3 linked regions of the Stegostoma tigrinum genome follow. The protein of the gene in region 2 interacts with the protein of the main gene of each other region in a pairwise test. Links are inferred from orthologs where the notes say so. Each region holds a gene or a part of one and is shown on either strand. Other genes may lie near its edges. The genes, in order: hsf2bp, cdc73 and tfcp2.

What was found.
Region 1: the proteins of cdc73 (region 2) and hsf2bp interact in binary tests that used the Homo sapiens proteins (3 or more experiments, as listed by UniProt). The link is inferred for Stegostoma tigrinum from reciprocal best matches to the Homo sapiens genes CDC73 and HSF2BP.
Region 3: the proteins of cdc73 (region 2) and tfcp2 interact in binary tests that used the Homo sapiens proteins (3 or more experiments, as listed by UniProt). The two-hybrid records come from large-scale screens. The link is inferred for Stegostoma tigrinum from reciprocal best matches to the Homo sapiens genes CDC73 and TFCP2.

What each region holds. Positions count from the first base shown.
Region 1 is NC_081365.1:280,876-284,629, reverse strand, and holds the start of hsf2bp (heat shock factor 2-binding protein), read right to left. Parts: upstream 2,663-3,754; coding exon 2,564-2,662; intron 1-2,563. UniProt on the Homo sapiens protein: Meiotic recombination factor component of recombination bridges involved in meiotic double-strand break repair.
Region 2 is NC_081361.1:34,777,759-34,781,512, reverse strand, and holds the start of cdc73 (parafibromin), read right to left. Parts: upstream 2,392-3,754; 5' UTR 2,346-2,391; coding exon 2,215-2,345; intron 1-2,214. Other genes in the region: glrx2 (glutaredoxin 2), read left to right, coding at 2,890-2,955.
Region 3 is NC_081404.1:6,119,709-6,123,462, reverse strand, and holds the start of tfcp2 (transcription factor CP2), read right to left. Parts: upstream 2,827-3,754; 5' UTR 2,620-2,826; coding exon 2,498-2,619; intron 1-2,497.

The sequences.
Region 1 (3,754 bases), on a different chromosome or scaffold from region 2:
CAGATGTTCTAGGAATGAGTGTAGTGCTAGGGAAATGATGTCAGCTGTGGTACTGTTTCACCGGTAGGCAAATTACAGGGGGTTGAATCAGGCTAGAGTTAATGTGGGCCATGACCAGCTTCTCAAAGCACTTAATGATTATGAAGGTCAGAGCCACTGCACGGTAGTTTGTTAAGGCTTGTTATTTTCTTTGGTATTGGGATAATGGGGGTGTTCATGAAACAGATGGGGACGTCAGATTGTAACAAGGAGAGGCTGACGATATCAGTGAATACTTCTGCCAGCTGATCCACACAGGATGTAAGCGCATGAATATTCAAGGTTATACGTGTTATCGAAAGGACAGACTGATGGGCAGTGGGGGTGGGGTGGCCCTGTTGGTGAGGAATGATATGCAGTCCCTTGCGAGGGGGAACATTGAATCAGGAGATGTAGAGTCAGTATGGATACAGCTGAGGAATTCTAAGGGTAGAAAGACCATAATGGGAGTTATCTACAGGCCCCCAAACAGAAGTCTGGATGTAGGGTGTAAGTTGGATTAGGAGTTGAAATTGGCCAGTCGCAAAGGTATTACTATACTTGTAATGGGGGATTTCAACTTGCAGGTAGACTGGGAGAATCAGGATGGTACTGGACCCCAAGAAAGGGAATTTGTGGAGTACCGCTGAGATAGATTCTTGGAACAGCTGGTAATAGCTACCTCCACCCTAGGAAAAAGTCTCTGGCTGTCTGCTCTATCTATATATCAAGTCAATGGCACACTGCATTCCAAATGTAGCCTAAAATTTTTTTATGCAACCTCAACATGACTTATCAACTTTACTCAATGCACTGAATGATGCAGGCAAGCAAGCCATAGGCTTTCTTTATGACCCAATACACTTTTTTTTGCCCCTTTCAGGAAGCCATGGACTTGCACCCCAAGATCCCTCTGTACATCTATACTCTTAAGGGTCTTGTCATTTTTTTCCTTTATTCATTCACAGGATGAGGGTGTCGCTGGCTAGGCAGCATTTATTGCCCATCCCTAACTGCCCAGAGGGCAGCTCTGAGTCAATCACATTGCTGTGGGTCTGCAGTCACATGTAGGCCAGACCAGGTAAGGTTTCAGTTTCTTCTCTAAAGGGCACTGTGTGCAGTTTTGGTCTCCATATCTCAGGAAGGACGTACTGGCCCTAGAGCGGACTCAGAGGAGGTTCATAAAAATGGTCCCGGGAATGGAAAACTTAATATATGAAGAACGTTTGAGGAGTCTGGGACTGTACTCATTGGAGTTTTGATGGATGAGGGGGGGATCTAATTGAAACTTTCAAAATACTGAATGGCCTGGGCAAAATGGATGTTGGGAAGGTGCTTCCATTGGTCAGAGAGTCCAGGACCCAAGGACACAGCCTTGGAGTAAAGGAAAGACCTTTTAGAATGGAGATGGGGAGAAACATCTTCAGCCAGAGTGGTGAATCTATGGAATTCATTGCCACAGAAGGCTGCAGAGGCCAGGTCATTGAGTACATTTAAGACTGAGATAGATAGGCTCTTGATTATCAAGGGTTACGGGGAGAAAGTAGGAGAATGGCATTGAGGAACTTACCAGCCAAGACTGAATGTTGGAGCAGACTCGATGGGCCAAATGGCTTAATTTCTGCCCATATGACTTATGGTCTTAAGACAATAGTGAGCCAGATGGGTTTTTTCTGACAATTGACAATGGATTCACGGTCATCATTAAATTGTTAATTACAGATATTTATTGATTTCAAATTCCACCGTCTGTCATTTCAGGATTTGTACTCAGGTCCCCAGAACATAACCTGGCTCTCTGGGTTAACAGTCCAGCGACAATATCACTAGGCCATCACGTCCCCTAACTGTAGACTTTCCTCTCGTATTTGACCTTTCAAAATACATCACCCATATTTATCTGGATTAAACACCATCTGCCATTTCTCTGCTTAACTTTTCAACAGATCTTTAGAATAGAATAGAATCTTTCCAGTGTGGAAACAGGTCATTCTGCCCATCGACTCCACATTGCCCCTATGAAAGAGCATCCCACCCAGATCCACACCTCTACCCTATTCCTGTAACTCTGCATTTCCCATTTGCTAGCTTACCCAGCCTGCATATCCTTGAACACTATGGGCAATTTAGCACGGCCAATCCACCTAACCTGCACATCTTTGGACTGTGGTAGGAAACCAGAACACAAAGAGAAAACCCATGCAGACACGCGGACAACGTGCAAACTCTACCCCGAAGGTGGAACTGAAACCAGGTCTCTGGGACTTTGAGGCAGCAGTGCTAGCCACTGAGCCACTGTGCCACCTGATCTATAGCCTGATGTATCCCTTGACAAACTTCCTCACTATACACAATTCCACCAATTTTTATGTCACGTGCAAAATTTCTAATCAAACAAATGACATTTTCATCCAAATTATTTACACATATTATAAACAATAGAGGTCCTAGTACTGATCCTTGCAGAATATCACTATTCACAGACCTCCTGTCAGAAAATTAACCCTCCACAACTACTACCAAGCTAACTTTATATCCAACTTACCATGAATCGCATGTGACATTTTGTCATGCAGGGTTCCCAAATCTTGCCATCCTTATCTCTCATTCTCATTGGAACATGCTCGTTCTGAACTTTGATCATTTGGCCTTTCAAGGACTCCAAGATGTCAGATGTAGATTTACCTCAAAACAGTCGCATCCATTTTTTTCAGTTCCTGCCTAATACTGCCATAATTAGGCGTGCCCTAATTTAGCACTTTCAATTGAGGCTCCTGATCCATCACTACTTTAAAACTTACCGAATTATGATCAATGACCCAAAATGCTCCCCCACTGAAACATCAATCATTTGGGCAGGCTCATTATCCAAAACAAGGTCTAGTACAGCCCCTTCCTTTGTTGGACCGTCTACACATTATTCCAAGAAGCCCTCCTAGATGACCCATCTAAATCCCTGGCACTAAGGGAGCCCCAGTCAATATCGGGGAAGTTAAAATCATCCACGACAACAGTCCTGTTGTTTTTACATCTTTTCATGATCTGCTTAAATATTTGTTCCTCTATCTCTGGCTGGTCATTGGGAGGCCTATAGTACGACCCCATCATAGTCATTGCAGCTTTCTTAAAGTTGAGTTCTACCCAAAAAGAATCATAGAATCCCTACAGTGCAGAAGCAAGCCATTCAGCACATTAAGTCCAGTGACCCTCTGAAGAGCATCTGACCCAGATTAACCCACCCTACCTTAACACTGTAACCCTGCATTTCCCTAGTCCACTGAGTCTGCATATCCCTGAACACTATAGGTATTAACATGGCCAATCCACCTAATTTGAACATCTTTGGACTGCAGAAGCAAACTGGAGCACCTGCAAGAAACCCAAGTAGACACGGGGCAAGTGTGAAAACTCCACACTTAAAATGGCCCGAGACTGGAATCATTGGGAGGTCATGTTGCAGTCGTACAGGACATTGGTTAGGCTACTTTTGGAATACTATATTCAATTCTGGTCTCCCTGCTATAGGAAAGATGTTGTCAAATTTGAAAGAGATCAGAAAAGATTTACAAGGATGTTGCCAGGATTGGAGATTTTGAGGTACAGGATAAGGTTGAATAGGCTGGGGCTATTTTCCTTGGGCATCAGAGGCTGAGGAGTGATCTTATTAGAAGTTAATAAAATAATGAGTGGCATGAAAAGGGTGAACAGGTAAGGTCTTTTCCCCAGGGTAGAGGAG
Region 2 (3,754 bases):
TAATTTATGATCTCAGTTCAACACAGATCTGTAGAATTCTAGCAATGGAAGTACTAGTCTAAGATTCTTAGCAGCCAATTCACCTGCCAATACTTACTGGTTGAATTAAAGAAAACTAAAACGGATTACACAGTTCTGTATAATCAGTTGAAAATGTTGTTTAGAGCTTTGCAAGAATTAGCTTTAGGTAACAAAGCAGCAAACTGGTCCAAAATTCTTAATGTGGGAAAGAAAAATCAAACCTTAAAATATTCACGTTTTTCACTTTGCTTACAGTTCTCAAAAACATTTACATACCATAAATGATTTTCTGGCACAGGGCTCCATTGTAGTCTACGTCACAACTAAAAGCAAAAGCAGTGTACTAACAGATCCTCCTAGTCCTCACCCAATAGCTACCATCAAGAAGTGCAAACCCAACATATAGGCACTGTTTTAGAGTTCTTATTGTGCTCAGGTTTTGTAAGAGTCCTAACAAATTAGTACTAAGTAAAAGGTTCACACCCAAATACAAAACTGTTTGACTGCAGAAATGTACTAAATAGTAACAGGAATCTGTCACTGAAAAAATTCACAACTGTTACTAATATATTTTTAGGAATACAATTAAAAAAGCAGGACTGCTCTTTTTATGAGCTTCACAGACTGCAGGACTGAACAGTTTTGCGTAAAATCAGTTTTACAATACACTAACAGCTCTTTCTACTCCTAAGATCAGCAAAATTTAATTCTCTCAAGACCTGTCATAACATACAGTTCACAGTCTGTGGGATTGACAACAACTTCTTCAGGAGGCAGCGACTGGCACCGCAACTTGTGGTTGAAAGAACGCAGAGCTAACTAACTAATACACTCAGTAATTTGTTAAATAGACAACTGATTCACCAACACCATAATTTACACACTAATCATGGTAGGTAATTAATTCAATAGCTGAGTATTTCACTAACCACATAACTAATCCACTCACTAGAATAACTAATTCACTAAGATCAGAATCAATAATCAAAAATTGGTTTGAAAACAGAGCCAACTTCTCTCTGGTCCATTGCACCCGATCGTTTGGGGTCACCAGCAGCTGCTATAGTTATTGCTGTCCTTCCTGCAATTGACACACGATTCCAAATCAATGTCAAAGCTGCTTCCCAAGAAGGGTACTCATGTTGTCTAACAGCTGGAAACTATCACACACTAAATTTTTAGCAAGCAACAATTTCAGCTGTAGTCCTGCAAATATCTGATATTCTGAACACACTTAATTATCTGATATCAGTATTATAATTGGGATACATCCTATGACGAGAAAGTGTACTCTGTATCAAGCAATCGCAAGGCCTAGTTTTGAAATTTTCTGAAAAGTTACTTTGGAAGCTGTTTGGATGGTCTTAAAATGTGAATCATCTGGCTCACTAAAGCATCCTCCTTTTGTTGAATAACTTCAAAATGCCTCAAAAGCATTTGATGTATTTGGCTTTTAGCAGTAACTATTATGCAGTGAAACAGAGGGGCTGCTTGCATTTCCCAGTCAGTGATACGAGCTAGCATATGGAGAGTGCATTGTTCTTCCAATAAAGATAAAGAGCCCTTAAAATGAAACAGAGCCACCGGAAACAGCACACAGCAATTCGATTCAACATCTCCTCCGACAATCGGTGATTTATAATATAAACTACAACGCATTCAATCTGGTGGACGAAAAGTCTTTTGCACATTTAAGAAACTCGGCTACAACACCTCTGCAAAAGAAAATCGCGTGCGTTTGTTTAAAAAGCAGCTTTGATCAATTAAAGTCAAGCAAACAACTTAACAAAAATTGCAAAAAAAAGTCAAGAAAAGTTTGCGGCAACAGCTTCTTCGCCGAATTTGTTCAGATAGGGGCGCGATCACTCTGATCTGTACTTTTTTTTGTTGCTAAAGAGTGATACAAGTGTCAGTTTCCCCAAGCCACGACGGCTGACCGTACTGAATAAACAAACATAATTCCCTCCATTTTCTGTTTACAATTGACAATGAAAGTGACTTGTTAGGTGATATGATCAGTGAAATTGACAGGTGTCCGCCAGTAGCTCCACTGATCCCGCACATGCTGCTCAAACTCAACTCAACTGCACTCCACTCCACTCACCCCAGGCTGCACCTTCCCCGACCACCCCACAATGTTTACCTTCCACCCTCCACATCCATCCATGCAGCACTCCCGCGGACAGCACTCACCCCCAGATCACATAATTCGTCTTCACATTCTTCGGCCAGGAGAACTCTCCGAAGATGACCTCGTCCCCTTTCACCACAATCTCCTTCTTCTGGATGTTGTATTGACGCAGTACGCTCAGCACGTCCGCCATCTTGCCTCGGCTCCTAACAACCGGGTCCTGAGAGCCTGGGCTGCCCCGCTGCACTGCCTGTCGAGAAGGGAAGAGGGACAGGACCCTCATGCTGCCCGGGCAGACTGCCTGAGCCGGCGGATGGGCAGGCACGGATGTTAGCACTGTGGTCGAGTGGAACTGCCGTCTAATGATCTAAATCAGGAGACTGCAAGGGGTGGGGAAACGAAAACACACGCGTAGGGAAACTTTCATTTTGATGGGGGACTGGTGATCAAGTGGTTGCTGAGTTTGCAGGATCTCCATTGACAACGGCATCTACAGGAGGCGGGGACTGGCGCAGCAACTTGTGGCTGAAAGAACCCAGAACTAACTAACTAATTCAGTAATTTGTTAAATAGACAACCAATTCACTAACGTGATAATTTATGCACTAACCACGGTAGGTATTTAATTCATTCGCTAACTAATCCACTCTCTAGAATAACTAATTCACTTTGTTTGCCTTCGTGGCCCACACAGCTTGCTGTCAGCCTCGATTAAAGTGACAGTATTATTTAAGGTGATGGATAAAGATTCCTTCAATCTTCTGATGGTCAATCTTCTGGTAGAAGACACTAGTTTGGACAGTGTAAGTTTGACCAATAACATTTCGAATTATGAGTCGCAAAGAAGTTTTATACACATTGACGAATGAGAAAGACTGCACATCCTTTTGGGATGCATGATTGTGAAGTGTGATTTTATTAAATACAAAAAAAGTTAATTGACATCAAACCACTGTCAGCATAATCAAATCTATCACGATGCTAATATCTAGTGGTTTATAATGCATATGAGTCAGACATATATGCTGGCCGTATTTAAGACATTTCATGAAAGTGATTTTGATTTAGTTCACTGATCAGCAGTTATGCCTTATTAACTGTAGATTAAAATTTGTGATAAATACCTTCCACACCACTGCTCCAGTGAATCCAGATTTTAGCTTTCATTCTACATTAACTCATCCATGCAGGCAACGTTACCAACCTCTGAAACAAAGAGTCATTTATCACCCTCTTCCAATCAGTCTCATTGCTCTCTCACTTATTCTGAACTCCACAGATCCCTTGTACCACTCGGAATTGACTTTAAAACTCTCACCATTACTTAAAGTTTCTCCATGATCTCACCTAACTCAAAACTAGTGACTTCCAGATGTACTATTACACATCTTCACTAACGATGGCCTTTTTATTTGTCCCTTTTTTCTGCTACACCACCATAATGTGTTCCTTTAACATGAGACTGCTTCTGTTATCTAGCTTCCTGCACATAAGCACCCTGAAAAAAATTCTATTAAGCTATTTCCTTAGTTCCTCCCTCAATCTCTTCACCTTCTCTTTTCTCTTTGCTGTTTATTTTTCTGTTTAATGTAAAGCTTGGAG
Region 3 (3,754 bases), on a different chromosome or scaffold from region 2:
ATACATGATGTGGCATCAAAAGGATAGGAAAGTAAGAGACAGAGGCCCATTCATTCAGACAGTTTAATAGACATTTAAGTCAATATAAATCACAGAATTGCTACAGCACAGGAGGCCACTTAGCCCAGTGTCCTCACCAGTTCTCCAAACACAAACTACAAAGCATTTCACAACTGCAACATATGAATTAATCTCCCCCTATATTAAAATTAATATAACTAGTATACTTCAAGGGCCTTCAACACAGAACAGTAAAAGAAAATGTGGGAAAATGACAGAAAGCATTTGTAGCGATGAAAATAAATTAAGAAATGAAAAGCTATTAACAATGCTTCAGTTTAAGATGGTGAATGGCAGATTATACCTAGAATTTGATTTAATTACATCTAGAATAAATCATGCAGCAACCAAAAGTACTTGTCTATGTACTTATAAAGACTCAATATTCAAATAATACATTTCAGAGATCAGAGCTGCGTAGACTAAAGCATTAGATTCAAAGTAAGCCGACAAGTTAGACTTTGAAAAATGGAAACCCCCAGTACCATGAAATAAGTGAAGCAACTGGAGGAATTCACATGCTAAGAATGTTGTCATATGGGCTCTTGTGGCACAGCTGTAAGTGCTCCTACCTGTGAACTAGAAAATCCAAGTTCAAGACCTGCCTACTCCAAAAGGTGTGTCATAACATATCCAACACGTTTACTAAAATAAGTACATCTTAGAGCTCTTGCAGCCAAGTATTTGTACCCCATCTCTGAACCAGAAAGCCCAGGTTCAGGTCACACCTGCTGCAAAGGTGAGTCACAACTCATCCGAACAGGTTATTTGAAAATATCAAAACTGCATCATTGAAGAACCAGCTCACTTAAATCCAGGAGACTAAAATTCATTCTACTGGCCGTGCAACATGATCAGATGCAAGTAAAATTTTGCAACATTCACACCAACGAGAGGATTACCAAACAGACCTTGACAAAGCCACAAATGATGATATTAGGGCAGAAAAAAATATAGTTTTTAAGGAGCATCTTAGTTGAAGCCTTCAGGGAGGAATTTTAGAAATTGGAGATTATGTAATTGAAATCATGACCAATTAAAACCAAATGTTCAAATCAAATCGGATGCCAGAATTGAAAGACAACAGATATCTAACAAAGGTGCAGGGCTGGAGGCAATCGCCGAGGTAGGGAGGGATGAGGTCATAATTTGAAATCAAGGAGAACTTTGAAGTCAAGACACTGAGAGGTTACAATGTGAGGTAACAATGCAGGCCAGTGACTGCCAGGAGTGATAACATAACGCAATGCAACTCGCTGCAAGTTAAGGCATGGGCAGCAGCGCTTTGGGTAAAGCCTGAGACCAGCCAGTAATGCAGTGAAATAGTCAAACCTGGAGGTAATGAAGGCATGGATGATGGTTTCAGCAGATGAGCTGATGCAGGGGTGCATTCTAAATAGTAAAGAGATGAAAATAAGCACAGAGCTTGACTGTGTGATCAGAATCTGTCAATACAACACAAAGGTTTCAAACAGTCTGATTTAATCTCAGATAAGTTGCCAAGAAAAGGGACGAAGCTGGTAACTAGGACTCAATTTGTGGTACAAACCAAATCAAATTCCCAACACAATCTCCCCAGGTAGCAATTCTTAGGGTGGAACAGCTATCACAACGTTAAGTGCTTTTTTTTTGCAGATTGCAATTGCAGCCAAATAACATGCATACTTCTGTAAAACATGGACATCTGTTTTCTTCAACACAAGTCAATGAAAAATGATCTGGAGCATCCATACCCATCCCAAGCCCAGGGTCCACTGAAACCAGTTAGAATACTGCACTGTAGCATAACTCTAGCCAAGATCAACAAGTTCATGCAGACCAAGAACAGAACTTGGTTTAAAATAAAAACAAAGTACTGGAGAAACTCAACAGGTCTAGCAGTATCTGTAGAGAGACAGGGACAGTTAACATTTAGTCCTGAAGTCACATTGGTCTCAAAACGTTAAGTATGCTGCTTTCTATACAGATATTGTTAGGTCCGAATTTCTCCAGCACTTTCTATTTGTTTCAGATTTCCAGTATCTGCTGTATTTTGCTTTCATTGAACCAGGTTTGGATGACCCATTCCCACGAGATCGGGCACCAATTGGCTGGTAATCATGTTGTATTTTAACGCAAAACAGCACAAATTATCTCACAATAGATGCTGGGGAGGAAATGGAAGCTGAACCCTGAGGCAATACAGGAGTCAGTGTTTAAAGGTAACGTACATTACCAACATGCACGGTCCGTCTTAAGTAGACATACCTTATATGTTGGTAATGTGGGTTTGAAGTTTCAATGGGTTTCGAGCTGGTAAACACGGGCGGGCCCTTCTACCTGTGGAAATTGAGGTGTGGATCAATGGAATATAACTCTCAATACCCAGAGAGTAGGGTTCTACACTTCTTGTATAGAAACACTGTTTTCTAATTACATGCACATATCAAGCATATACCTCATGCTATAGGCTCCTGCGCCCAATTCCTGACCGATTCCAGACAAACTGGCATCGAAATCCTGCACCAACCCAGATTCAATCACCTCATCCGGCATCGGCATCTTCAGCGCCCAGGCCATGGCGACACGCAAATCAAGGCCAGTAGTGCGAGTTAGAAACAAGTTGCGCTCGAAGGAAGTTAAAAGCGCTCAGAATAAAGGTTCTTTTCCCCAATGCGGAAGAGGCTGAGTGAAAGCCTGGAAATCAGAAGCTACTGAACCCAAAGGGAAGGGCGCGCTCACTGCTCACTCACCGCGCGCCATGTCCGACCCATCAAAGATGGCGCCGCTGGGAACCGGCCGGGACACACATCACGCTGATTGGCTGTTACATAGTCAATCAAAAGTCATTTGCCAGTCGGAATCTGGCCTACTTGCTCTCTTTGACGTCATAACGAACCTTCCTATCACAAGCCGCCAGAAGGCTGGGCTGACTGCTTTCTAACTAAATAGTGTGACGAACCAGAAAAGGGTTTTGTTTTTTATAATTCCACAGTTTGACTCAAATAATGAGGAATGTCCACATTACGTAAATAAATAAGAAACTCTAAGATTTCTGCCTGCGCTATTTTTTCCCAAGATGCTTTCCTCGTTAGTTACGCTGCTATCTTTCCCAAGTGACTACTCTTCACCTGTCAATTCAGTCAGTGTTAGATGGTTTAACAACCATAACGTCGCTTCAACTGCTACTTTTTCCGATAGAGCAATTTCCATCTTCGACCCAATATCAGGAGAGCAAAACTGACGCATACTCTGCTTGTGAAAGGAGACCTGCACTGCTGATAGATAAAGCTGGAAAATATCCCTAGTGACTGATGGAACATTCCATTCAAAAATGCATTTGAACTCGATATAAACAGTGAAATACCGACTGAACGATAGTTTGAGGAACATTTTTTAACAGTAAACTCAATACACGGTCGTCAACAAATTTTCAAATTGCAGCAAACCATGGTGACATTTTAAAACGGCTGGCAGAGTACGAAATTTACTACGGCTGGAGGAGAGAGTCATCGAAGTTGGTAACGATGCTGTCTTCCAAACGAGGCATTGAACCCAATACCTTATCGGACTGTTTAGAGGGGTCGTGAAAGAGCCTTGAACACCATTTAAATGAGAAGAAATCCGTCTGATAGTTATTACGTGGTTTGCTGCCACATTTCCCAAAAAAAATCAGTGACTACGTTTAAAAAGTGGTTGTGAAGCATTTCAAAAT